7 linked regions of the Mus musculus genome follow. The protein of the gene in region 6 purifies or fractionates together with the protein of the main gene of each other region. This does not show direct contact. Links are inferred from orthologs where the notes say so. Each region holds a gene or a part of one and is shown on either strand. Other genes may lie near its edges. The genes, in order: Sirt6, Ehmt2, Snw1, Ubtf, Hnrnpc, Chd4 and Nolc1.

What was found.
Region 1: the proteins of Chd4 (region 6) and Sirt6 purify together in Homo sapiens (affinity purification with mass spectrometry; 3 studies listed by BioGRID, with this or other methods). This does not show direct contact. The link is inferred for Mus musculus from reciprocal best matches to the Homo sapiens genes CHD4 and SIRT6.
Region 2: the proteins of Chd4 (region 6) and Ehmt2 purify together in Homo sapiens (affinity purification with western blotting; 3 studies listed by BioGRID and IntAct, with this or other methods). This does not show direct contact. The link is inferred for Mus musculus from reciprocal best matches to the Homo sapiens genes CHD4 and EHMT2.
Region 3: the proteins of Chd4 (region 6) and Snw1 purify together in Homo sapiens (affinity purification with mass spectrometry; 3 studies listed by BioGRID and IntAct, with this or other methods). This does not show direct contact. The link is inferred for Mus musculus from reciprocal best matches to the Homo sapiens genes CHD4 and SNW1.
Region 4: the proteins of Chd4 (region 6) and Ubtf purify together in Homo sapiens (affinity purification with mass spectrometry, with the first as the bait; 3 studies listed by BioGRID). This does not show direct contact. The link is inferred for Mus musculus from reciprocal best matches to the Homo sapiens genes CHD4 and UBTF.
Region 5: the proteins of Chd4 (region 6) and Hnrnpc purify together in Homo sapiens (affinity purification with western blotting; 3 studies listed by BioGRID, with this or other methods). This does not show direct contact. The link is inferred for Mus musculus from reciprocal best matches to the Homo sapiens genes CHD4 and HNRNPC.
Region 7: the proteins of Chd4 (region 6) and Nolc1 purify together in Homo sapiens (affinity purification with mass spectrometry, with the first as the bait; 3 studies listed by BioGRID). This does not show direct contact. The link is inferred for Mus musculus from reciprocal best matches to the Homo sapiens genes CHD4 and NOLC1.

What each region holds. Positions count from the first base shown.
Region 1 is NC_000076.6:81,624,738-81,628,997, forward strand, and holds the start of Sirt6 (NAD-dependent protein deacetylase sirtuin-6), read right to left. Parts: upstream 2,801-4,260; coding exon 2,735-2,800; intron 2,586-2,734; exon of another isoform or gene 2,155-2,585; intron 1,881-2,154; coding exon 1,753-1,880; exon of another isoform or gene 1,691-1,752; intron 1,162-1,690; coding exon 979-1,161; intron 380-978; coding exon 320-379; intron 1-319. UniProt on the Homo sapiens protein: NAD-dependent protein deacetylase, deacylase and mono-ADP-ribosyltransferase that plays an essential role in DNA damage repair, telomere maintenance, metabolic homeostasis, inflammation, tumorigenesis and aging.
Region 2 is NC_000083.6:34,911,772-34,914,573, reverse strand, and holds the end of Ehmt2 (histone-lysine N-methyltransferase EHMT2), read right to left. Parts: intron 2,186-2,802; coding exon 2,107-2,185; intron 1,941-2,106; coding exon 1,765-1,940; intron 935-1,764; coding exon 754-934; 3' UTR 501-753; downstream 1-500. Other genes in the region: Slc44a4 (choline transporter-like protein 4), read right to left, coding at 275-335. UniProt on the Homo sapiens protein: Histone methyltransferase that specifically mono- and dimethylates 'Lys-9' of histone H3 (H3K9me1 and H3K9me2, respectively) in euchromatin.
Region 3 is NC_000078.6:87,469,500-87,473,605, reverse strand, and holds the start of Snw1 (SNW domain-containing protein 1), read left to right. Parts: upstream 1-1,306; 5' UTR 1,307-1,344; coding exon 1,345-1,358; intron 1,359-4,106. UniProt on the Homo sapiens protein: Involved in pre-mRNA splicing as component of the spliceosome. As a component of the minor spliceosome, involved in the splicing of U12-type introns in pre-mRNAs.
Region 4 is NC_000077.6:102,312,597-102,316,096, forward strand, and holds part of Ubtf (nucleolar transcription factor 1), read right to left. Parts: intron 2,444-3,500; coding exon 2,268-2,443; intron 1,627-2,267; coding exon 1,543-1,626; intron 1,458-1,542; coding exon 1,302-1,457; coding exon of another isoform or gene 1,266-1,301; exon of another isoform or gene 1,013-1,265; intron 1-1,012. UniProt on the Homo sapiens protein: Recognizes the ribosomal RNA gene promoter and activates transcription mediated by RNA polymerase I (Pol I) through cooperative interactions with the transcription factor SL1/TIF-IB complex.
Region 5 is NC_000080.6:52,073,022-52,076,521, forward strand, and holds the end of Hnrnpc (heterogeneous nuclear ribonucleoproteins C1/C2), read right to left. Parts: intron 2,706-3,500; coding exon 2,592-2,705; intron 2,416-2,591; coding exon 2,234-2,415; intron 2,140-2,233; coding exon 2,059-2,139; 3' UTR 356-2,058; downstream 1-355. UniProt on the Homo sapiens protein: Binds pre-mRNA and nucleates the assembly of 40S hnRNP particles. Interacts with poly-U tracts in the 3'-UTR or 5'-UTR of mRNA and modulates the stability and the level of translation of bound mRNA molecules. Single HNRNPC tetramers bind 230-240 nucleotides.
Region 6 is NC_000072.6:125,105,981-125,109,480, forward strand, and holds part of Chd4 (chromodomain-helicase-DNA-binding protein 4), read left to right. Parts: intron 1-428; coding exon 429-560; intron 561-659; coding exon 660-756; intron 757-1,487; coding exon 1,488-1,679; intron 1,680-2,300; coding exon 2,301-2,501; intron 2,502-2,678; coding exon 2,679-2,816; intron 2,817-3,071; coding exon 3,072-3,193; intron 3,194-3,311; coding exon 3,312-3,485; intron 3,486-3,500. UniProt on the Homo sapiens protein: ATP-dependent chromatin-remodeling factor that binds and distorts nucleosomal DNA. Acts as a component of the histone deacetylase NuRD complex which participates in the remodeling of chromatin.
Region 7 is NC_000085.6:46,074,571-46,078,646, reverse strand, and holds the start of Nolc1 (nucleolar and coiled-body phosphoprotein 1), read right to left. Parts: upstream 2,801-4,076; 5' UTR 2,618-2,800; coding exon 2,498-2,617; intron 1-2,497. UniProt on the Homo sapiens protein: Nucleolar protein that acts as a regulator of RNA polymerase I by connecting RNA polymerase I with enzymes responsible for ribosomal processing and modification.

The sequences.
Region 1 (4,260 bases), on a different chromosome or scaffold from region 6:
AAAGAACCCCTAAGAGGGAGTCAGGGGCCAAAGCTCAGGAGGCACAGTCCTGCTCAACACCCCGAGGCTCTGGTGTGCAAGCCATGTTGACACCCAGCCCAGAGCCATAGCAAAGGCAGGGCAGGGAGAACCCCTCATTGCCAAGGGCATGACCAGCTTCTCCCTTGGGGGGCTGTGAAGAAAGGGTTTGCCCCATTTGTCTACGAGCCTTTGTTGGTCTGTTTTCATCTGACTGTCTCTGGCCTTCTCTAGGCCATGCTAGGACCCTGAGCTGGCTTAGGGGAGGAGCAGGGTCTTGTGTTACACGGGCAACACTCACGTCTTACACTTGGGACATTCCTCTACAAACATGTTTCCGTGCAGCTCTGCCAGCTTGTCCCTGCAGAAGAAGATGCCAGTAAGGACCCTTCCCAGATCCTGGGGCTTGGACCAGCTGCTCAGTCTGCCTCCTCCTCCAGAAAGCCTTCCTAGGGGGCTCACTCACAAGGGGCGTCCACTTCTCTTTCCTGGAGGATGTCCCAGCCTGTCCCATTCTGAGGAACTGTTGCATGCATAGCTGTCTGACGGTGTCTTCACAAACTCACAAATACCTCCTCCCCACTACAAAAAACCTGTTGGCTAGCCGCGGCACACCCCTTTAATCCCTCCATTGGGAGGCAGAGGCAAGTGGATCTCTGTGAGCCTGATCTACAGGGCAAGTCCCAGGGTAGCCAAGACATGGAGAAATTCTGTCATGTACTCGCCCTCTGCCGCAACAGTCAGTTGGCCCTAAAGCCCCTGCCAACCTCCCCACCCCACCCCAGTGAGGGGTGGAACCCTGCCTACATCCCCCCAATTTGACCAAGTACTGCCCGGCTTTGGGCTCCGAGCCTTCCCCCTCTTTGCATCCCTAATAAATGCCCCTGAGCTAGGGCACCCTGGTCCAATAAGGAGGAAGAGATGCAATTGAGCCCCAGCCCCCCGGCCGACTCATCGGACCTGGGGAAGCCCGAGCGCACGTGCAGCCCGTCTACGTTCTGGCTGACCAGGAAGCTGAGGAAGCCCATGCGTTCTAGCTGAACCAGGGCCATGTGGGTCTTCGAGGGCCGAGCATTCTCGAAGGTGGTGTCAAACTTGGGGGCCAGGCCGCGTTCCTCCATGGTCCACACGCCATGGGGGCCTCTGAGGATAGCAAGCAGAGGAGGACAGGCACAGAGGTCAAACATTCATTTTCCAGGCTGTGGGCTCTTCCTGTTAATGCTGAAGTCAGCCCATGCTGGCCCCAGCCCCGTTCTTAGGGTGGTTCTGTATCCTGTGGTGGAGACAATGACTGCCGGGTAGGCAAGAATTCTAAAGAGCATGGGACGTCTTCATGAAAGAGGCGGAGGGGCTGAGGGTCTGGGGGTAAACAAAGGCAGGGGAGCTAGTGGAGCTGGGGCTGAGTACTGGTTAAGACCGGCTGCGGGTTCCCAGAATGCTTTACAGTGGTCATAGGCTGCCACCGAAGGTTATGGGTGAGCTAGTCACTCCACAACATTGAGTCATTCTGACCCTAGAAAACCCAGTGGCTGGCCGAGCTGCATGAATACATTTCCCAGCATGCCTTGCAGCTACTACATTATGTGGGCATGCTCTGATCCTTGGGCAAGTGGAGTTTTTGCTGGGCCTTTCAGAGACATAGGAAAACTGAAAGGTCCTTCTGCCACCTCACCTTAGTCCCTAGAGGTGTATCAGCAAGAGCCCTGCCTCAGTTTCCCCTCATTGTTCACCGACCTGAAGTCGGGGATGCCAGAGGCGGTGCTGATGCCGGCGCCCGTGTGGAAAACCACGCTGGAGGACTGCCACATTAGCCGGGCCAGCTCCCACACCTTGCGTTCCAGCTCCTCTGGTGGGTCGAAGATCTGTAGGGTCAGAGGGCAGGAGGAGGCAACACGTGACCTCCCAAGTGGCAGGCCTCCTGTGGGTCAATGCTCTGTCTGCCCCTTCTCAACATCCCTCAGTTCCAGCCACACTCTTAACACATCGCTGTGTCCTACCCCAGGGCCTTTGCACATGCCGAGCCCTCTTCCCAGAGTGCTGTTCCTGCAGGCAGCCACTCCTTTGTCCTGGTCTGGTTGTGGCCCACGTGACCTCCCCACTGACGTCATCCCCCATCCTGGACTTTAGATAACCCACCTCTCTCCCCTAAATCAAGATGCAGCTCTACTTGTCTAGGGGCTCCGTTAACATGAGGCAGGCAGGGCATGGTGTCGCAGGCCTTTAACACCAGTACTCGGGAGGCAGAGGCAGGAAGATTCCTGTGAGTTCGGGGCCAGCCTGGGCTACAAAGAGAGAACCCTCCACCCTACTACACCCCTTCAGAAACAACAAAGACTGACAGCCCCACACTCAGGATCCATCTGGCCCAGATTCAGGGAGGAGTACAGAGTGGGGTACAGGGATGCCCCCAGGAAAGGGTGCCAGCTTCCGGCCCTGCAGATCTTCCCACAGCTCCAGGTTTTCCCTGACAATTAAGACGTCCACTCCCTGACCTGACGATTTGGTCTCGTTCCCATTAGCCCCTCACTCCTTCCCTGACCCAGGTTCCTCCGTGTCACCCAGCCTGAGCAGTGGGTGTCACTTCCCGCCCCCTCCTTCCAGGGAAGTCCCTCCCATTGTCTAGACTCTATGTTTCATGCTGTTCCCACAATGCCCCGCTTCGCCCGGCCGCTCCCCGTCTGGGGTCATTCGGTGACTCGAACACTGCAGCTCTCACCTCGGGCAGCCCGCACTTGCCCTTATCCGCGTAAGGCGACAACCCTGCTGCATAATTCACCGACATCGTCGCCGGCGCTGCCGCACGGGAACAATAAAGTTTCCCTTGTTGAGGCCGCTTCCGCCGGAAGTGGTGAAGGGACGGTCGGGAAAGAGTAGCCGCCTTCCCTAGATACGTGCCTGAGGGTGGGGTGGGTACGTGGAGGTGAAAAACAGCATTCTTTCCAGAGCGCATGCGCCCTCCTGATGCAGCAAGCTTAGTCTTCAGTGCTGGCCGAGACTACCTCTCTGACTTAGTGGATTCCCCAGTCCTGGGATCCGCGACCAGAGCCAGAAAAGTGATGAGGCCACTCACAGGAGTCGAGGCAGGGGGATTGCGAGTCCCAGACCAACTCCCTGTTTCAAAAGAGACAACATCAGCAAAACCCAGAAATGAAACCAAACAAAGCAAAACAAAAATCCACAGTTCTCAGTGTGTAGAGCCCTGCCCGGAGTGCTTATAGCACTGGCAGGAGGGGACAGAAAGTTCGAAGCCACGCTAGGCTACATGATACCCTAACCTTTGTGACTGTCATCCAGGGTCTGCCTGACTCTGGCTACAGGAGAGAATGAATGGAAAACTGGGGTTCTTGGGCAGAGGAAAGACCTCTGGGCCCCCTGCCAACATTTCCTGGGTTAGTTTCTGGAGTGCACCTCCCGGAATATCACAGAGCATAGGGTTAGGTCCACAGAACTGGGCGAGTTCCACGTGTTACCCAGAGGTGCCCAGAGATGCAAGGAGAGAGGTGAAGAGCCCTGCTTCCGTGGCCATCTAGAGATGGGAGGCACTATCTGACCATTCTGCCTGTTGGTAATCAACAGACACAGGAGCCATGTGATGGGTCAATGGCAGCATATAACAACCGAAGCCTCCTGATCCCCGTGGAGACCCCAAGAAAGGCTTCGAGGAGGCAGGAGCACACAAGGAGGTGGGAGAGGCCGTCCTTGGGGCTGCCCATCTGAGCAAGCTGGCTAACAGCAGCTTGTCTCCTCCCTTGGCTCATCCGTCCCCCGCTCCCCCACCCCAACCTGATCGGGTGTCACCTCTACTCTGCTGCTGGTGGCTCGCAGCTGGAGCGGGTAACCAGAGAGGCTGCTTGGACGCTGGGTTCCGGTCTGGAGTCGCCTGAGGTAGGGGGATGTGGGTGAGGGAGGCCAGGGAAGTCTGGGTGCTGGTGAGGGGTGCTACCTGCAACAGTATGAACACACGCATCTGCACACTTGTGACAGGTGCACACATCCCACGCGGGAGCCAAGGCCCAGGCCCAGTGCGCAGCGTCACCTGTGCTGTGTCACCTCTTCAGAAGGCAAACCCTTAAATCCACAGGCCTTCCCTGCCACCTTGCCGTGGCGATTTCCTTCAGACTGGTAGCATGTGGACAACTCTTTTGGGTGTTTTGTCACCCACCCTTGGTGGTAGGTGTGGGGTGAAAGTGAACCTGATTAGTAGAGGAGGTGGGATCAGTGAATGGATGGATGGATGGGTAG
Region 2 (2,802 bases), on a different chromosome or scaffold from region 6:
TGCAGAGCCCGGCCACCTCTCTCCAGAGCCCGGGCCTCTGCCCCTAGCCTTACCGTGAGCCTCGTTCTCATTCTGCTTTCTCCCCATGGCTCAGTCTCCGGAGTGATTGGAGCCACGGAGACCTAGCCGCTCACCTGCCGCCCGCCCCGCCCTCCCTCCCAGACGTCACAGCCCCGCCCCTGCCTGTGGTCCTCTACAGTTCCTTTTTCAGATCTCAACTCTTGACCAGCCCAGGGGTACCAGGGCTCAGAACTGGGTCCCAGGAGCTGCTTACCGGGTCTGCTACGGACCGCAGCAGGAAGAAACCGGAGCACTTTGATAAGGAAACACTGCATAATTGTTTAGAGTACTTCAACTGTGGCACACCCAAACCTCTAGGTTGTGATTTGCTTTTCCTTAAACCCCTGTGGCCAGTGGGTGCCCCACAGCTGTTCTCTTCCACCCCACAGCCACAGCTTGCTTCCTACCCAACTGTCCCCTCAGCCCCATAGTCCTCATCGTCCTGAAACAATCACCAGACAGTTTATTACCAAACCCAACATTTATTGAGAACACAGAAAATCAGCTGGCAGAGGCCCAACTTCAATCAGCTAACTGAGGCCAGGCTCAGTGGGGAAGGCCAGCCCTGAAGTCACTTGCACTCCCAGTGAGAAACCAGCTCTGGGAGAGGGGCCATCGACCTTCCAGGCCTTACTGGGGTCTCTGATGGAGAAATGTCTGAAGGGCAGTGCCCGGCCTGGATTTTAAGAGTCCTCAGGTGTTGATGGGGGGCAGGGAGCTGAGGTCAGGGAGCAGCTCCGGGTGGGGGTCCAGCCGGGCCAGGCGGCTCTGCTCCAGGGCGATGGCCTCCGCTGAATGCTTGCACTTCTCAGAGCCACACTGGCAGGTGAAATACTTGCTCTTGATGTCCCAGAATCGGTCACCGTAGTCAAAGCTGGCAGAGGAAACACAGGAGCTCTTGGCCCTTGGATCTAGACACTTCAAACCCATCTCATAGAGCCCAGGAGCCCTCTTGAGGGATCCACCTTCTTCCACCCAACCACTCCTGCAGATGGACTCCAGGTCCTTGTTGGCTCTGTTGACTCACACTCCCAGAGAACTGTCATAAATGCAGGCTTCTAGCCTTCCTGCCTTGTGACCAGACTCTCCCGAGGCTCTGCGGGAAGTGGGATGCAGCCTGCCCAGGGCCTAGTATACTCAACCATCCAGCCAACCCACACTAGCCCCCATCCCCCTTCTTGTTTTTTGCTTAAGATAGGGTCTCTCTACATAGGCCTGGCTGTCCTGAACTCTGTAGTTAGCCCAGGCTGGCCTTGAATTTGTAGGTACTTCTGCTTCAAGCTCTTTCAAACACTAGCATGACAGGCATGTGATACCAGGGCAACCTGGACTTCTCTTGTTTTGTTTTGACACAGGGTCTCACTCTGTAGCCCAGACTCTTTGTGATCCTCCTGCCTCAGCCTCCTGAGTGCTGTGATCATGAATGTATGTTCCTACTCCTGCCTTACACAGTTTTAACAAGCCTTCCAAGGGACACCTAAGAACACCAAAGGAAGCCGGGTATGGTAGCACACACCTTTAATCCCAGCACTTGGGAGGCAGAGGCAGGCAGATTTCTGAGTTCGAGGCCAGCCTGGTCTACAGAGTGAGTTCCAGGACAGCCAGGACTACACAGAGAAACCCTGTCCCGAAAAACCGGGAAAAAAAAAAAAAAAAAAAAAAGAACACCAAAGGCTGGTCAGTGCCCTCAGGCTGGCTCCTCACCCCAGCTCCTCCCCAGTCCGGATGTCCCTGGAGCTGAAGAAGGCAATGCGTGGGAACCGTAGATCTTGGTGCAGCATGAAAACCCGGACAGGGATGATGTTGGGGTCACACAGGTGGTTAATGAATCGGCTGATGTTGCCATAGTAACGGGCATCAATGCAGTAAACCTCGCCATCCTGGGGGTGGAGACACAGTGTTCTTAATATCCACTTCTATCCACTTGCCTGGCTAGTGTTCCTGCAGTGACACCCAGTCCCTCCACCCAGGCTTCCAGTCCCAGATGTTACAGGTGGCTGCACAAAGCAGCCTTTGGTAGTTGAGGGCAGAGGTGCTGCATCCCACCTTGTTATCTAAATCGAAGAGGTAAGAATCATCCTCTCTCACATCAGCCTCGGCATCAGAGATCAGCTCTCCTACATACCTGTTGGACGGAAACTTCAGTTCTGCATGAACAGTGAGCAGGGCTCCCGGCCCCACCTTCCCACTCAGTTCTCAGAGCCCAGGGGAGAGATGCAGGACATGGTCCAGCCACTAGGGGTCGCTGTGCAGCTGTAGACAGGCAGGTGGGAGGCTCTGTACAGGTGGAGCCTGCAAGACCTGAGCAGGCATGGTGGGAGATGACGTGTGTGTGTGTGTGTGTGTGTGTGTGTGTGTGTGTGAGCCTGTGTTCTGGGGATTAGCATCCCTGGTGGCTGGCTGGGTGGAAAGTTGCCAGGCTTAGACATTAGGAGGTGTGTGCACCAGGAACTATCAAACAGGTGGTAGGCTCTGCGCAGCTACATCAGTCATGAGGTCGCCCCATGTGGCTGGAAGAGGAATTGCCCAAGAGAAGTGGGTGTCTGAGAAGTTGAGGGAACAGAGAAACTGGGAGGTCCTCGGAGCAGGTGAAGGGGCTTCTCTGCTCTAAAGGCCACAGAGAACCTAGGTGAGTCTGACGGCAGAGGGGAGGAAGTGCACAGGAAAAAGCTATTCTCCACTTTACAGATCTGTCTGCCACAGGCATGCTCCATCTAGGCAGCGTGCAGGTAAAGGGGGGAC
Region 3 (4,106 bases), on a different chromosome or scaffold from region 6:
GGTTTTGGGCTATGCCTTTCTGATTTCCCACATTCATTATTTTAACATTGCCCTCAGTAGCCTCTTTAGTCTCTCATTACCATAGAAAACCAGTGTGTGGCAAGAAGAGTCCTTTTGTTTGTTTGGCGTGGTGATTTACTTATGCTTAGTGCAAGGTGTGGTACTCTCAGGAGGTATGGCATTGTTGGAGGAGGTTTGCCACTGTGGATGTAGGACTTTGAAGAGATCTATATCTACTCAAGCTCTGCCCAGAGTGAGACAAGCAGTCTCTCCTTACTGCCTTCAAATTGGCTTGCTGAACTCTCAGCTCCTTCTCCAGCACTATGTCTGCCTGGATGCTGCTATAATGATAATGAACTGAACCCCTGAAAATTTAAGCCAGCTACAAGTGATATTTTCCTTTATAAAAGTTGCCTCAGTCATGGCATCTTTTCACAGTAATGGGTACACTAAGACAGTTTGGTTTTAGTCTTTTGAGACAGGGTTTCTTTGTGTAGTCTTGGCCATCCTAGAACTAGCTCTGTAGACCAGACTGGCTTTGAACTCACAGTGATCTACCTCTGGGATTAAAGGCATGTGCCTCAACTGCTGGACTAAGAACTGTCTTTCTTGAGCTGCATTCAGTGGCAAAGACCTTTGATCCTAACACTTAGGAGGCAGTGTCAAGCTGATGTCAGATCATGACCAGCTTGGTCTATAGGAAAAGTTCCAAGGCAGCCAGGACTACACAGAAAAACCCTATCTCAGAAAGAAATAATTGTCTTTCTTACCTGTCTCAGTCCTACTTCAGCTCCAAATTATCAGCTGAACTAAATCTACGCTCATTGATCTTAATTTCTAGCATCTTCTTTATTTGCCACACCCCACACTGTTTTTTAAATAATTCATTCGTGAAGCAAAATTTAAAGTAGATGACTGTTAACACAACGATTAACTATATGCACGGAGGGTGGCTTATAGTGGGGGATCAGCCAGACTTTGCATCCTATTCAAAACTCTTAAGCAGTACTATGTGTAGCGGCCTTAAAGCAGAGTTGGATAATAGTATTAGCGTCCCAAAATAAGGCTTTATATCATATTTTGTATTATCACTACTGACATGTTAAACAGAGACCCTGTAGCCTGTAAAATCTACAGAAGTAAGGAATTTCGTATGCTAAGGTAGTTGTTGCTAACGCACTTTCAACAGACTGGCTGTCACAAGTCTCTCTCAAAGAACTACAAGGCCCAGAGGGCCGTTCGGTCAGAGCGCCTGCGCAGTGAGCATTTTTCCATTGTGTTCCTCGTTCCCGGGCAAGACTCGCCCGGCGACGTTGTGGCCTGCGCAGGAAGAAGCGGAAGAAGATGGCGCTCACCAGGTGGGTTGTTGATTTGGGTCCTCGATACGGAAGGGTCTGGAGTACACATCTTTTCCTTTCTGCCCGTACTGTTCGGGCTGTGACCTGGCCTGAGGCGCAGAAGTAACTTAGTCAAAACCGTGGCTGGAACCTCTCTCGGGCTTCCTCCGCGACTAGGCCGCGCCGAAGCCGGGGTCTTTCCTTCGGGGCTTCCCGGGTTGAGTTCGCCCCCCCCTGTTCCGAGAGCCCTGACATGGCCTCGCCGCGAGGACCTCACATGTGCTTCGCGTAAGCGGCGCGGTAGATTGACGAGCGCCTTGTGGACTGCGGGCTGAGATGGTTGCACTGCGAAGCCGCGGCTTATTTAACCCCGCTAAGCAAAGCTCGCCCGTCTCGTGGGAGGCTTTCCAGCCGCTTGTATGTTTTGTGCTTCTCATTTTCTCCTGCTACTCTCTCTCTCCCGAAACAAAGATTTTTGCAAAAAAAAAAAAAAAAACAAAACAAAAAAACAAAGAGTTGGGAACGTCCGAGAACCGACCAAGTTTTTTTTTAATTGACAGCAGTAGGGGCTGCTGTTGACTAAATGCGCGCCGCTCCACCTTTTAACTTTGGATCTTAGAATTTCTTTTGTACATAGAACCACCTCCGGCTTTTGCTGTTCCTGGTTGCCCTGGTTACTGTATGTAAAGTGTTTCCAACCTTTAAGGAAAAGAAAATGCTAAGTGGGAGACTTCCAAAAAGTTATGTAACTCCCAACTGCTGTAAGTGGAAAAACTTTCCATGCAAACTCAGCTGGAAAAGTCTGATTTTAAAGAAGGTATTCACTTTAGGGCCTTGGATTGTACCTGTTAAACCCACTTCTCATATTTTTTCCTGGCTCATAACAATATGAATCCTAAGAATATTTTGGTTATATGAATTAAGGTTTGTTGTCCTGCTTTGCCCTAGAGGTAGTATATGTAGAATGAAAAAAAAATTTTTTTTAAACCGGGAAGATGGACAAGTGGGTACACGGATGAAAATAGTGCAGGCGGGAGGATCTCAGAGTTCCAAGGCCAATCAGGTCTGTATAGGTAGTTTAAGGCCAGGATTTAAAAACAAAAACAGAATAACACTGACCTGGTTAGCTTTAACTGTCTGCTTAACACCTGGTCAAAAGATATCAGGTGAAAAAATTGCCTAGAACAGATTGGCTTATGGACATGTCTGGAAAGGATTGTTTTTCTTGCTAAGAGATGCAGGAAGATCCAAACCACTAATGGCTGCTCCATTCCCTAGGCGGGATATCCTGAACAGTATAAGCTAGATGAGTATAAGCCACTCTGCCAACCAGCAAGCAGCTTACATGGTGCCTAGCCTGCCTGCCTGCTTGCCTCCCTCCTTCCTTCTCTGCAAGAAAGCAAGTCCCTCTTGCTCTTGATTGTCTGTGGGATTTCACTAGCTGCCTTGACATCTCTCGTGGGTTTTAACCTGGAATTAAAAGCCAAATGTACTGGCTGGGTTTGTGTGTCAATTTGACACAAGCTCAATTTATCACACAGATAGGAGCCTCACTTAAGGAAATGCCTCCACGAGATCCAGCTGTAAGGCACTTACTCAATTAGTGATCAAAGGCGGGAGGGCCCAGCCAATTGTGGGTTGTGTCATCCCTGGGCTGGTAGTTCTGGGTTTTATAAGAAAGCGAACTGAGCAAGCCAGGGGAAGCAATCCAGAAAGCAGCAGCCTCCATGGGTACTGCATGAGCTCCTACCTCCAAGTTCCTGCCCTGTGCGAGTCCCTTTCCTTACTTTCTTTGGTGATAAACAGCATTGTGTAAGTGTAAGCTCAATAAACCCTTTCCTCCCCCTACTTGCTTCTTGGTCATGATGTTTTGTGCAAGAATACATACAGTGACTAAGACATCAGATAAGCCCTTCCTCCTGTAAATTGTGTTTTGCCGCAGTTTTTTAACAACAGCCACAGAAATGAAACTGGAACCAACAGATGATGTACTGGTACATCAACAGATGTGTGGTCCTAGCCTCGGTACAGAAAAATAAGAGTGAGTTGTGCTGACTGAGTGTTTTAGATAGCAAATATTCGAGTCTTCTTCAGGCACTATGATACAGATTAGTAGGACCATGAGAGGGAAAGTAGAATTTGAAATGGATGCACACAAGAAGAACGCCAGAGGTATAATATGTCTTGAGTGCCTATCAGCAATGCTAAAAGGTGAAGTCTCAAAATGGTCGGGCTTGAGGACTACAAAGCTTTCATTTCTGTGTTTTTAAATGTTGTTTATAAAACTAGCAAATACGGACTGGGGAGGAATAGGTCAGTGGTTCAAAGCAGTGGCTGTTCTTGCAGAGGACCTGGTATGTTTCCCAGCACCCACATGGCAGCTCAGGTTGCTCTGTCTGGTAAATGAATAGTTAATCATAATGCAGAAAGTTGGATGGTATACACATGGTCTAGACAGCTTTAATCCCAAAACTGGGGAAGCAGCTGGATCTACACAGTGAGAGTCTGTCTGCTGACAATGAAAACAGAAAAACCAATAGGAAAGCACAGTAGCATAATGTGGAATTCCTCTATAATCTCATTACTCTAGAGGCTGAGGCTAGACAGGGACAAGTTCAAGACCAGCCTGGACTACCTAAATAGGCCTTGTTAAAAATTAGGAAGGCCACCAAACCCGGACACTATTGCATATGCCAGAAAGAGTTTGCTGAAGGGACCCTGTTATAGCTGTCTCATATGAGGCTATGCCAGTGCCTGGCAAATACAGAA
Region 4 (3,500 bases), on a different chromosome or scaffold from region 6:
GAGCAAGCAAGGAGGCAGCTCATTTCCACCATGCTTCCCAACAGAAACCAGAAACAGCACGGCCTCCCTAGGGCACCCTCAGTCCTCCTCAGACGGGAACTTAAAAGGCATCTCAGGGTTCACCCTCCACGCCTCAATCAGGAGTACTGAAGTGACTTACCTGAAGGACCAGACACAGCCGACCGGCAACAATATGACAGGCCCACATTAGTGTGCCCGTGCCTAAGCTTTCTCCACTCAAGTTTCTCTGTCCCTCCCTGCTTCTGCTTCTTAGCCTCTCTCTCCCACCCCTCAGGGGTCTGGTGGTGTGTGTAGTCACAGTCCCAAGTCCTCACCCATGGGGTCAATGGCAGCCCTGCCAGTTAATGCTACTTGGGCTTGGGTATGGGCCACAGACAGCTGGTTTTACCCAACCAAGCCTATCCCATTTTGGATTTAACAGTAAGAGCATATGAGCTCAGCCAGATTAATTCGTTTGACTCTGTGTTCTTTGCCCACCAGTGTGCATCCTTCAGACCCTACTGCCCGGCACTGACACCCTTGGCCTCATCACCCAGCATCTCCTCCTCACGTTTGGCTCTCTCCCATCTTTAACGTGTTGAACTCCCTTCAGTATTTTGCTTCCCTGTCTTCCAGGGAACCCCCCTGAGCTTGTCTTGGGCTTTATCCATCTCTGCCCAGGAGGTTCGGACAACGTTTACCTAAAGGCCTACACCCCTGAGAATCTGGACAGGGGTCTGTTTCTGTAGGAGGAAGCAGCCTGAGGCAAGGAGAGACCGTGTACCCTTGTACACGGGAAAACAAGGTCACTTATGTGACGCGGCAGGGGGAAGAGCACTGGAGGGCAGAAGAGGTTCCAAACTCAAGTGTGTTCCAGCATCATTTAGCTGGAAGCCTCAAGCTACTCAGCACTCCTATGCCCCAGTCCTTGCTCAGGACAACCAGTCTCTCCCCTTTCCTGGGTCTCTTGTCTACTCAAGTATCATGGTGGGTAGGAGAATGGCTGCACAGATTCACAGGGAGTGTGGCTGTTTGGCTGTGGGGTACAGGAGCAGTCTGAACGCCTTCAGGGTCCTCCCCTGCAATGGGTCCTGTCTGACCATGTGTGGGCCAGGAGGGGGATAGGTACCCCGGTGACCTCCAAAACAACTACACTGTTGTGTTGACCCCTCCACACGCCCAATATGGAGTCCCTTTTGTCTCTCTAAGGCCTATCCCCACCCCGCTGACCTTCCCACACCAGCTGCCCCCTCCTGCAAGTATAACTACCCTCCCCACACCTGAGCCCCCCCTCCCCCCACCTTCTTCTTCTCTGGAAGTTCCTTGTATTTCTTAGACAGGATCTTAGTCAGGTCCAGGTTGCTCATCTCCGGGTGGAGCTTCGCGTACTTGGCCCGCTTCTCCATGAAGAAGCGGAAGTAAGGGGTGAGAGGTTTCTTTGGAAAATCCGGGTGTTTCTGGAACACAGGAAAGCGGGGTTAGATGCCACCTATCCTTTAAACCCCTCTTCCCTGACGCGAGCTTCTCCTCCTGGTAACTCACCTTGAGCTTTTTGCCTTTGTAAGGGTTTTTAACATGTTCCTGAGCATCAAGGATCAATTCTGTCAATGTACGGAACTTCCTTACCTGGGGGAGCAAACAGGAAGAAAGGAATTTGGGAAACATCACTGCATAGTCCAGCATCCCTTTACAGTGTTAGCACTGCCCTCCACCACACTGAGTTCAATGAAGAAAATAAAGCGACAACATAGATTATAGGCAACTTCTGACCCAGAGGCACTCGCTCATATCTGCTACAGAGGCCCAAGTAGTTGGGGACAACCTAAGAGCAGTCACAGACTGATTTCAACGTAGCTTCCATGCCTGCATCTCATTCAGCCCCTAGAGTATCCAAAGTCACCTAGAAGATTGTGGTAGAACTGTGAGCACTAGGCGGTTGCTATCGCCCAGGCCACTTCCTCCCCTAAGGCATACATTAGAGCTGACAGAAGAACACGTGAAGGCCTTCTGTCCAAAGTGACTGGTTTGCTTTCCCCGTTTTCTCTGAGATGAAAAGCATATACACAGCCGGGCGTGGTGGCGCACGCCTTTAATCCCAGCACTCAGGAGGCAGGGGCAGGCGGATTTGAGGTCAAGGCCAGCCTGGTCTACAGAGTGAGTTCCAGGACAGCCAGGGCTACACAGAGAAACCCTGTTTCTGAAGGAAAAAAAAATAGCATATACAATATGTATTTATTTACAGGAGTCAAAAAGTGGGAAGCACTTACCTCGTTAGAAATCTCCACCCATTTGAGCTTGCACATATCTCCTGAAAAATCCTTAAACGCAACTTTTTCCCAATCCATGTGCGACTCTGTGGTTTTGAACTTGGAGCTGTCGTTGGATGGGAGGTTGTTCTTCATGCATTCCAGCAGAGTCAGCATATCTTCCTGGGACCAGCGGTCTGTGACATGTAAGAGAAGTCACCACACCTGGCTCATGCCCTTCTCTTGATCTGTTCCCCAGCCTCTGAGTTCACCCCCTCCTCCCCAAAGCCCCTGGTTGCTTCTCATCTGAACCAGTACATGGCTCAGTCCTAAAAAAGAAAAATAACCGTGGTCCTATTAAATCAGGGAAGGGACTCTGGACCAGATAAAATAACCACCATACTTAAGTTACACTGGGAATCCTGTCTTGCTTACCTCAAAGCAATCACTTTTAACATGCTAGGCTGCCATGGGCCCCTATTTACAGTATGAGATGGAGTGGGAAGTCTAGTGATTTAGGGCCTATGGACAAAGGGCTCATCAGAAAGGGAGGGATCAGGGAAAGAACGTATCTAAATGTGGTCAGGCTCTATGTGAGTGTCAAACATGCAAGGCCTGAGGTTGAGGTGTGAGTCCTAAGGCTCCCAGTGAAGATGTCTGTCCAGCACAGCTGGAGATCAACAACTAAAGGCAGGTACTCCACCACTCTAGTCACTTTAAGGGAGACCAAAGCAGCATTTCTGGCAACTGAGAAAAGTGGAATTCAAACATTAGCACCATACACAGTAGTTCTGAGAAAAGGCAAGCAGGTGGACAGAGTTCTCAGGGCCTTGGTCTCTGGAGAACCCCAGAACTCCAAGTTGACATCTTAGCCCAATTATTTTCAGCTGCTAAAGTGCAGCCCAGAGACAGCTCTGAGCCTCTCTGCTATGGAGGCTGGGCTGGGGGAACCCTTGGCCAGGATGCAAAAGAGCTCCTGACTTTCATTTGCATCTGGTAACCTGGGCCGGTTTCCGCAGAAAAGGGTCACATGGCCCATAATCCTCTCTCCCCTGATGTCTCACAAACATTGGCAGATGCCCAGTTTCCTACTACCCTCCATGTCATAAACATAACACTGCTGACAGAGGTGGCTAGGGTCGGGGCATCTATAATTCCTAAGGCTTGGAGCCATAAACCACAATCCCCTTCCCTGTTTTCCACCTGCCTCTAGTGAAAATCTCCACTAAGGTGTGATACTTCAAGCTAAGAAAC
Region 5 (3,500 bases), on a different chromosome or scaffold from region 6:
CCAGCAGCCACATCAGATCTGATGCCATCTTCCACCCCAATCTTTTTTAAAAAACTAGAAATGAACAAAATCTCACAACTTTGAAAGACTTAAGATATTCTCATAGTGGAATAAACCTGTGAACATTTTAACTTGACAAGTTTTAGTATTAACTTAGTTTAATACCACCAGTAAAATATCCTAAATAGTTCTCTAACAATATCTAAATAGTTCTAAATAGTTTCCAAAATAAACTAGCAACAGCAGTTTGAGGGAGGGCCAGGGATGACACCCTTTTTTAGTCACATGCTGGCACTTAGTGTTCCTATGAAGACACAGGCTCCTGAGTCTTTTGCTGATGTATATACCAACTATGAAAAGGGACAGAACCACAGTCTTTATTCTCAAATTTCCCAACTGCTTTTTTTGGGGGGAGGGGGCGGGGGAGTCACCTGAATAAATACAATACCCAATATCAGAAAGTACCCAATACTGAACTAATTGAACCCACCCCAGCATTTTGTACACACCAGCTTCTAACAGCATATTTAAACAGGTTTTATTTATTAGCATCTTTAACCTCTGATATCTAGCCAATTCCTCAAAAACCCAAGACAATATCAAGATTAGGGGAAGGGGCAGAGGGGGGTCACAATAAAAGCCATTTTTATATTTGCACACTGGAGCCAAGGGAAGCCCCTAGATCAGCCTCTCCTCAGTTTTATCATGGGTTACTTTTGCCTACAATGCATAGCATGAAAGCATAGACTTGCAGCTGTATGCTAGATATACACAACAGGGTCTTTTTGAGAAGTAGAAAGTCTGTGTGCATAAAAGATTTGAATAGCCTGCTATACAAAAATAAACAAACAAGCCCCCAAATCTGTTTATACCTTTACCTTATGTTAGGTCTTACACAGCAAAATGTTCCAAGCTGACTCAAACAAATCAAGAAAAGGGGTAAGAGTACTTCACATGGGTAATTATAACTCTCGTTATAGACTCAGTTCTTAGGAAGGCAAATGCTATATAAAACGGGAAAGACAAATGCTTTCCTATTTTGAAACTTTTGAGGCACAGGTTGAGAATGCAATAAAGAAACCTGGGTTTTAATCAGTAACTGAACATTCAAGCACTCCGTGTCAAAAATATTTAAAGTTAACAATGCTCTCAAAATGACTTTTATTCATATATATTGGTATGCATGAAGATTATATTTAATACAACCTAACGATTTGTGGAGGCTGCTATTAAAAAAAAAATGTAATTGAAAAACTTTCTTTCCAGCAGGGTGTGGTGGCGCACGGCTTTAATCCCAGCACTCAGGAGGCAGAGGCAGGCAGATCTCTGAGTTCCAGGCCAGCCTGGTCTACAAAGTGGGTTCCAGGACAGCCAGGCCTATATAGAAAAATCCTGTCTCGGAAAAAAAAAAATTGTCTTTCCTTCAAATTCCTGGTTTAATAAGGAACTGTTTATTTTTGAGAAAAAGATCCCAAACATCAGGCTGTTCACAAAAATAACCCATGGTATAACTTTAGAAAACAAATATTAAGACTATTACACTATTTTCCTGTAAGATGCATTTGACATGCCAACTCCCATTCACAAAAATACATGGTTACATTCGTGTTGTAACAGTCCCACTCACGTGAGGGAAAACACACACCTCTAATGCAAAGCTGCTCTTGGGGTTACAAGTAAATGAGATGCCTCTGCAGTTAGGGAAGCAACTACTGAAGTCATGAATGGGAAGAACTGTACTCCCTGCATAACAAGAGATTATTTTGGAGACAGTTGATAAAAACCATACAACTTTTTATTGTTAAGTCAAAGAGGTATCAAAATTAAAGCAAAACTTACAGGGTGAGACTTAACGAAAGTACTACGGAGCATCAAAGGAAGTGGAACTGTAACTAGGCGCAGGGCAATCATGAATTAATGAACACAGGGAGGGTAAGGCGGGACAACAGTGAGAATGTGCAGAAGACCCCAGGGGAGATGACCTGGTGTTACTTTCATCTCCCACAAACGCCTAGGTAAATGAATAATGGGATAAGATTTCTAAGCTCCACTATGTGCTTAAGAGTCATCCTCCCCATTGGCGCTGTCTCTGTCGTCTTCTCCTTCCTCAGGCTCTTTTTCATCATCCTTCAACTCCAGCTGTGAGAAAGACACAAATAAGGGAGAGTTAGAGGTACTCTTCTCATCCCTGGACCCCAGTCCTCCCAACTTTCTTTTTTCCAAAGGTAATCACCTGGTCATCCCCCCGATCTTCATTATCGTCATCATCCAGCAGGTCACCCTCCTCAGCAGAGTCATCTGCACCTGCCTCAGACTCCATCTTCACATTAGTCTCATCTTTCTTCACAGAGGCGCTGCTCTGCTCTTCTTCAGACTTTTCATTCTTCATCTCTACTGGGGATGAGAAGGACAAGTCTGTCCAGGGGCAAGTGTTGCCCACAGGATATAGACAATTCCCATTAATCATCAAAGAACAAAAGTAAAGTTTTCCAAATAAATTAATGCCCCTTCCAAACAGCCCAATTTGCATATACATTAAACCACCTTAGGAAGATAACCCAAATTCAATTAGAAAATTAAAAGACTATTACCTGCTTGCTTGCTTTGTTCTTTTTCAATTTTTTCCAGGCTTTCCAGAAGAGAATCCACTTTTTGTTTTATCTGAGTCAGCTCCTTTTTAATGGCCTGAAGGTCATCACCTTTCACTGTAACAGAACTACAATGTTAGACTAGAATAAAGCACCATTTACCAGTTACTGAAAGTGTTCTTTCTAGGTGCTGTGCCTTAGGTCTCAGAACCACAGGAAGAAATGTTTTTCTAGTTAACAATTCAAAAAGCTGAAAGAAATACAGAGGCACCAACTGCAATAGTAACTAGTAATCTTTAGTCAGCAAATGATTTAAAAATAATTTTTAAAAAAAAGCTATAAATGCCTTACATAGTATCACTTTAACCTAAACATGTATTTTCCTGACCAAAAAAATATCATTCTATTTTATAGCAACTTCTAAGTTGTCTTATCATTGTGTATGTGCCCATGTTCATGAAAGTGTTCCGATACAGGGAAGGCTTTCAGTCTCCTGTCTACACCCCCATTTCTCCTTAGGGGCACTGAGATTAGCCCAGCTTTACTTCTGTTTTAAAAAGAAACAAAACAAAAAACTTAAGCTGAGAATTTCAACTAAGATACTGCAATTGCTCTATTTACTTTCTCAGCTTTCATAGTTTGCTGACATACTTCAATTATGTCGATCAATATAGAAAACTGACAACCAAGAGTATGCCCTAGCTAAAATTTAGTTCAACATAAACATTTATAAAATTAACCAAGCTATTAAGTACAGAACTCAGACTACAATCCTTAAACAACATTCTTTCCCCCTCTTCCCTGGTTTGTATTTTTTTGGGTAAACTGAGACCAATGCCAGGTGTCACCTTGCTCTCTATCACAGGATATAGGAGGTGTTTTAAGAGATTAAGAACAGTGTTGGGCTGGAGA
Region 6 (3,500 bases):
AGAGACGTTTCTTCTGAATTTGGCCCACAGCGAGAGTATAGATTAGAGAGAGAGTATTGGTTCAAAAATAGGTATCATTGAGGCTCTGAATATATGTGGAATCTGGCACACTTAGAATGGTTTTGTCGGTTTTTTTTTTGTTTTTTTTTGTTTTTTGTTTATAAATGAACACTTTATTATATGTAAGTATACTATAGCTGTCTTCAGACACTCCAGAAGAAGACGGCAGATCTTGTTACAGATGGTTGTGAGCCACCATGTGGTTGCTGGGATTTGAACTCTGGACCTTTGGAAGAACAGTCGGGTACTCTTACCCACTGAGCCATCTCACCAGCCCGGTTTTGTCGGTTTTTAAGAGCAAGGCTGACTAGAGAGGTGAGGGAAGTTGCTTTCTGACTCTGATGAGTTTTTCTTTCTTGATCTTGTAGTGTGGACAAGAAGGGCCACGTTCACTATTTAATCAAGTGGCGAGACCTGCCCTATGACCAGGCGTCCTGGGAGAGCGAGGACGTGGAGATTCAGGACTACGACCTGTTCAAGCAGAGCTACTGGAACCACAGGTCGGTGACTGTGAGCGAGCAAGGAAGAGCAGACGTGCTCTTGCTCTCTCTTGGAAGGACAGGGACCAAGAGGCAGCTGTGGTGTGTTTTCTTTCCTAGGGAGTTAATGAGGGGTGAAGAAGGACGACCCGGCAAGAAGCTTAAGAAGGTGAAGCTACGGAAACTGGAAAGGCCTCCGGAGACCCCAACTGTTGATGTGAGTATGGGTGGAACAGGAAGGGTGTGTTTGTTGTGTGGGAAGTATGCTGCAGTCATGGTGAAGCTCCAAGTCATGGCCTGTGGATAGCTCTAGCTGAGATGGTCAGAAAGCAAACGCTGGGTGTTGTAAATGGTGCTCTGTGTCAGGTCTACCTGAAGCCTAGATATGTAGCCCTGTCTGCTAAAGGATCCTAGGCCGCATCCTGCAGTGAGCAGTGAGGTTCCCATCACTCCCTCTGCCAAGTGTATTGAGGGTCACACAGGTCCACAGCACCTTCTGCTTATTGTCCCCATGCCCCGATGACCTTTCCCCTTCCCTCAGCCGCCCCATTCTTCCCTGGAGCTCGTGCCCACATTCGTGCCTTTTGTTCTGTGACCCACTGGATTTAACTGATGTCTGTCTGTCCGTTAGGGCCTGGTGGATTCTTTGGCTACTCCACTTCACTTTAATTCTTTATTGTTATCACTCCAAAGACAGTATTTCCTTCTGGTTCCAGGACTGGCCTTGAGCTCAATCCTTCTGTCTCAGCCTAAGTACTAGGATTATAGGCGGGTCCTACAATGCCTTATTTCCCTAAGGGCTTTTTTATTTGGTTTGGTTTTGTTTCTCTTAGCTCTTAGGAAAAAAATATCTAGTGAGGACTTGTGTAGGAGGAAGCAGCTACTGTCTGCCGTCCCCGTCTCCGGGAAGGGCTTCTTTACCAGATTGTGACTTCTCTTCATCCTTAGCCCACCGTGAAGTATGAGCGACAGCCGGAGTATCTGGATGCGACGGGTGGAACCCTGCATCCCTACCAAATGGAAGGCTTAAACTGGCTCCGCTTCTCCTGGGCTCAGGGAACCGATACTATCTTGGCTGATGAGATGGGCCTTGGGAAAACTGTGCAGACAGCAGTCTTCCTCTACTCCCTCTATAAGGAGGTAAAAGATGCCAGGAGATGCTAGTGCTTGGTGTGGGTATTCTGTATTCTTTTCTTGTGCTTTAAGGAGTTGGAGGAAGGGAGGAGGAGGAGGTGCTGCTGAGGGGTAGGAAGACACAGGTCTGCAGTGCAAATCCTTTCTTTTCTTTTTCTTTTTTTTCTAATTATTTTTGTCTGTATATTGACCATAAGTATGGTTGTGCACCACCTGTGTGCAGTACCTTGGGAGGCCAGAAGAGGGTGTCACCTCCTTAAACTGGAATTGCAGACTATAAGCCATCGTGTGGGTGCTGGGATCTGAATGTAGGACCTCTGCAAGAGCAGCTAGAGCCGTCTTTCTAGATCCTACAGTGGAAATTTTACAGGATCAGAGCCCTGGTAGACTCAGTGCCTGGCATGTGTTTTGAGGGAATTACAGTTGGTCTTGGAGGAATTTGGTTTTTGTCACGGTGGGCCTAAGAGAGGGATAAATGGCTTTTGTAAATGATGGGAGGCAGGGAGGCAGAGGCGCAGGTGTCAGGCATCAGCTTCACTGTGGGGTGGGGCAGGGGTGGGGGAGATGGAGTCTGGGGTTTAGGGATGGGGCTCTTAGTCCTGACTCTGCCTGCCTTCTTCCTCCCAGGGTCACTCCAAAGGCCCCTTCTTAGTGAGCGCTCCTCTGTCCACCATCATCAACTGGGAGAGAGAGTTTGAGATGTGGGCTCCTGATATGTATGTGGTAACCTATGTGGGTGACAAGGACAGCCGTGCCATCATCCGGGAAAATGAGTTCTCCTTTGAAGACAATGCCATTCGTGGTGGCAAGAAGGCCTCGAGGATGAAGGTATCTTAGTGTGTGGGAGGAGGAGACTGTTGAGCGAGTCACTGCTGTTGGCTGGTTTGCTGCCTCACCTGGTCTCTAAGTGAGGCAGAAAGAGAACTTTGGGAGCAGGGAAAGCCTACCTGTCCCATTGTGTGGATGTGGACCAGTAGTGAGAGACGGGCTTATTGTTATGTGCAGAAAGAAGCATCGGTGAAATTCCATGTTCTGCTGACATCCTATGAGTTGATCACCATTGATATGGCCATCTTGGGTTCTATTGACTGGGCCTGCCTCATTGTGGATGAAGCCCATCGGCTGAAGAACAACCAGTCTAAGGTGAGGTGTGGGAGGAAACGGCCTCCAGTTCTAGTCCTTGGGGAAATTCATCTCTTTGAAAGAACCCTAAGTAGAGAAGAAGGGAAAGTGGTCTTTATTTCCTTCCTCACCACGGCAGCCCTTCTCTGGCCAGGCCTTTAAGAAGGATGCCAGCCATGGGATGAGACACTTAGTTCACTGGACAGTGAAACAGCTTGGCATTCTGTTGCAATACTCTGGTGCCCTCGTTTCTTGATTTTTATTTCTCTTCACCAGTTCTTTCGAGTTTTGAATGGTTACTCACTCCAGCACAAGCTGTTGCTAACTGGAACTCCGTTACAGAACAATCTAGAGGAACTGTTTCATCTGCTCAACTTTCTCACCCCTGAGAGGTTCCAGTAAGTGCGCCTGTCAGTCAGTCAGTCCCTAGCTCTACTCATTCTTGCCCATTTCCTGTGTTACTTTCCTTTCTTCCTTGTTTCCCCTTCTCTAACAACTTTTTTCTTTTTTCTGAAGCAACTTAGAAGGCTTCTTGGAGGAGTTTGCAGACATTGCCAAAGAGGACCAGATTAAAAAACTCCACGACATGCTGGGGCCTCATATGTTGCGGCGGCTCAAAGCTGACGTCTTCAAGAATATGCCATCCAAGACAGAGCTGATTGTGCGCGTGGAGTTGAGTCCTATGCAGAAGTGAGTGTGAAGGGA
Region 7 (4,076 bases), on a different chromosome or scaffold from region 6:
TTACTCCTTGATCAAATGTAATCTGTCAGCCAGGCATGGTCCCAGCACTTCAAAGAAAGAGGCTGGCAGATCAGTGAGTTCAAGGCCCACCTGGACTACATACAGAGTTCCAGACAGCCAGGGTTATGTAAAGAGACCTTGTCTCAAAAGTTATGCTATCTCCCTACTTAACTCAAAATGGATGTTACATCTTAAGACTTTTCCTACTTGTATAACTCAGGAGGAAAATATTACGCTTACATATCACCTAACTTTGAGCGTGAAAACTTTATGGTATATCCCTGTGCCTTTCCATATCTTTTAAAGTCTTAGAAATGTTGTACCAATTGATAACAGAGCGTTAGCTGAGGGCTGGAGAGATGGCTAAGTCGCTGAGAGAGCATGTTACTCTCCCAGAGGACCTGAGTTCATTACCAGCACCCAGAACAGGAGACGCAACAGTACCTGTTAACTCCACATACAGAGCTTCTGACATCTCTGGCCTCATAATTTCTAACTATTAACTTTTTTTTTTCTAATTAAATGACTTTTAAAGGCAGAAAGGCAGGGCTAGATAGGTGGCTCAGTGGTTAAGAGCACTGTCTGCTCCTTCAGAAGACCCAGGTTCAACTCCCAGTACTCACATGGCAGCTCTCACACAGACAGACATGCAGGCAAAACACAAATGTGCAGAATAAACTGTAAGCAAACAGAAAGGTGCGAGGTACGGTGGCACGCGCCTTTAACTCTAGCACATGGAAAGGAGAGGCAAGCAGATCGGAGTTTAAGCCAGCTTGGTCTACATAGTGAGTTCAAGGACAGCCAGAACATAGAGACCCTGCCTTAAGGAGGGAGGGAGGGTGCCGAGCAGTGGTGACACACACCTTTAATCCCAGCACTTGGAAGGCAGAGGCAGAGGCAGGCGGATTTCTGAGTTCAAGGCCAGACTGGTCTACTGAGTTCCAGGACAGCCAGGGCTACACAGAGAAACCCTGTCTCGAAAAACCAAAAAAATAAAGTAAAATAGGAGGGAGGGAAGAAGAGGAGAGTAATAATGAGCACTGGCTAGATGGTCCATCAATTCAGAGCACATGGAGTTGGGGGGGGGGGTTGGGGGATGTATTACCAGATCACATGTCAGGCTGTCCCGGCTGAAAGAACTCCCTTATTATGAGACTGACCTGATCTTTCCTTTTGTGGCAAAAATCACCTTTTTGTATTTTGCTACAAAGAAGTAACCTATCTCAAAAGATCTGGTGGCCTATAACCCAAGAGTCCCAGGATCTAAGGCCTACAGCCTTTCAAGGTGTTTCCACGAACACTACAGCTTTTCTTTCATTTTTTTTCCCCCTTATTTATGTGAGTTCATCTTTGCTGTCTTCAGACACACTAGAAGAATGGGCATCTGATCCCATTACAGATGGTTGTGAGCCACCATGTGGTTGGTTGCTGAGAATTGAACTCGGGACCTCTAAAAGAGCAGTCAGTGGTCGTAACTGCTGAGCCGTCTCTCCAGCCCGCTACAGCTTTTCTTAAGGTGCAGAGTAAACATTTTGCTCTTACATAACAGCTGTCACTCACCCCATGTTCCTGTGTGCCTACAATGGAGTTACTACTTTGTGCATTTTTCTCTCAGTGAGTCTCATTCACTCAAAAGCTGTAAATTGGGCTGAGCATGGTGATATACACCTTTAATCCCAGCACTTGGTAGACAGAGACTGAGCTGAGTTCAAGGCCAGTATGGTATACAAAGTGTGCTGCAGGGCAGTAAGGCACTTAGCATGAAGAGGCTGTGACAAGAGGTACAGAAGTTCATATCCATCCTCCACTACACAAGGACTACATGAACTTTGTCTCAAACAAAAGGCTGCTGGGATCATACATGCAGAAAGCCGCAGAGCCTGGCCTAACATCACTACCTGGAGCTCCAAGCTCAGTGCCAACTTAACACAGGCGGACGCTCACTACTCCTAGAGTATACTGAAAGCAACCTATCACCACACTCATTCATTTTTTTCTTTTTAAAAAAATAAGTAAATACAATATGAAGTCCTAGCTATCATTACTTCGCAATTTATCCCTGCACTCACTCATCTTCTTTTGTAAAAACAAACAAGTGTATAAATAGAATCCAAGCCTTCATTACTAAAATCTTTGAGTCTCAGGTAAAACTGCAATTAAGGGTAAGTCCAACAAAAAGTACAGAAGAACCACGCACCGCCAACCCAATGCTCCCGGAGGGATCTAGCGCCACATGTCCTGGGTCACGAGGGACCCATGCCTGTCACCGCTGCAAAAACTCACACCAAGTAAAAGCCGTAATACTCGGAGCTAGCTAGTCAGACATGGTGGAAGGAGACACCGAGACCTCCAGCCTGAGGAAGGTCCGCAGAGAAGCTGGGCAGACAACGGACTGACAGACCCCAGCCCTCGCCTCCTTAACTTCTAAAGCCGACAAGGCCTAGATTAGCTCGGAGAGTCGTCCCACCCCGGCCCGCAGACCAAACCAAGGACTCACAGCGCCGGTCGCTTTTGCAAATTTACTGGCCACCTCCGAGAGTTGGCTATCCCGCAGAAATCTGAGCACAAGGGGATAAAGGTCGCTGGGAACCACGCGGCGCAAGCCGGTATCCGCCATGCTCCGGGTAAAACGCGTCACTACCGTTGCGCACGCGGCACGACTTAAGAACACCAAAGCACAGCCCGGGTCGAGGGCGGGTCCAGTGTCGTCATCAAGTCGCGCGCGGCGCGCAGCGGAAAAGAGTGGCGCACACGAGGTCGCGTACCCTCCACCCGGGAGGAGAGACCCAGACTAAATCTAGAAGTTGCTTCCGGTCCCACACGCGTCATCATCCTGCAGGGGGCGGAGCCCACGAGCCGCCCACTAAGGAGGCGGAGCTTCTACGTCAGATGCCACGCTCCTGTCCGAGGCGGGAAAACTTGCAAATTCCCGCGCATTACCTTTGCTGAATGGGCTTCTTCCTACTGTAGATTTCCAAGCCCTGGCTGCTACTGAGACCTCACAGTACTGAATGGACTAACAATAATGGGTGCACTGGAGAACTCGAGGCTCTTTCAACCCTTCTAGAGGTGTCACCTACTGCTCAAACTCCCACGGACAATGGCTTCCTCCCTCCCTTCACACCCAGTGAAGTCCTTCAGGATACCACCCAGACCCAGACTCAAATCAGAGGATCCTAAAAGTTGTGGTGACAAGGTGTTGGTACCCCACATTGTCTGTCAGTCATAGCTAGGTTACAAGACAGTTATCCTTCCCATCTACAATTCGGAGAACAGGAACACGGGACCATCCCAGGGAAAAGATCAAGAAAAATCCTTTCTTCCTAAAGAAAGAAGTCACAGTGAATTCGGAAAACTTCAGTATCAGCTACTGTCCAGGTCAGGAAGCAATAAAGATGCACTTCCGGTGAATACCTTTCTTTTACTTTCCTCAAAACAGGCGCTCCTTCTAAAAGGACCCGTTATCCTATTTCCCAGAGGTGCTTCTATGCATACACAATCGTTTGTTTGTTTGTTTTGGCTTGTTTTTTTTTTTTCCAAGACAGAAAGGTTTCTCCGTATAGCCCTGGCTGTCCTGGAACTAACTTTGTAGACCAGGCTGGCCTCGAACTTAGAAATCCGTCTGCCTCCCGAGTGCTGGGATTAAAGGCTTGCGCCACCACGCCCGGCCTCAAAATCGTTTTTTTTAAAATACACACACCACCGGGCGGTGGTGGCGTACACCTTTAATCGCAGCACTCGGGAGGCAGAGGCAGGCGGATTTCTGAGTTCGAGGCCAGCCTGGTCTACAAAGTGACTTCCAGGACAGCCAGGGCTACACGGAGAAACCCTGTCTCGGAAAAAAAGAAAAAAAAAAAAAATTCACAAACCAAGATGGTGATCAAAACCAAACTGGTGAGCTTTAATGACACTTAATAGACACTAACCCCAGTTGAGAAAACTTTTATTCTCATAGGTATGGTGGCAAATGATTTTTTTGTTGTTGTTTTGTTTTGTTTTTCCGAGACAGGATTTCTCTGTAGCCCTGGCTGTCCTGGAGCTCACTTTGTAGACCAGGCTGGCCTTGAACTCAGAAA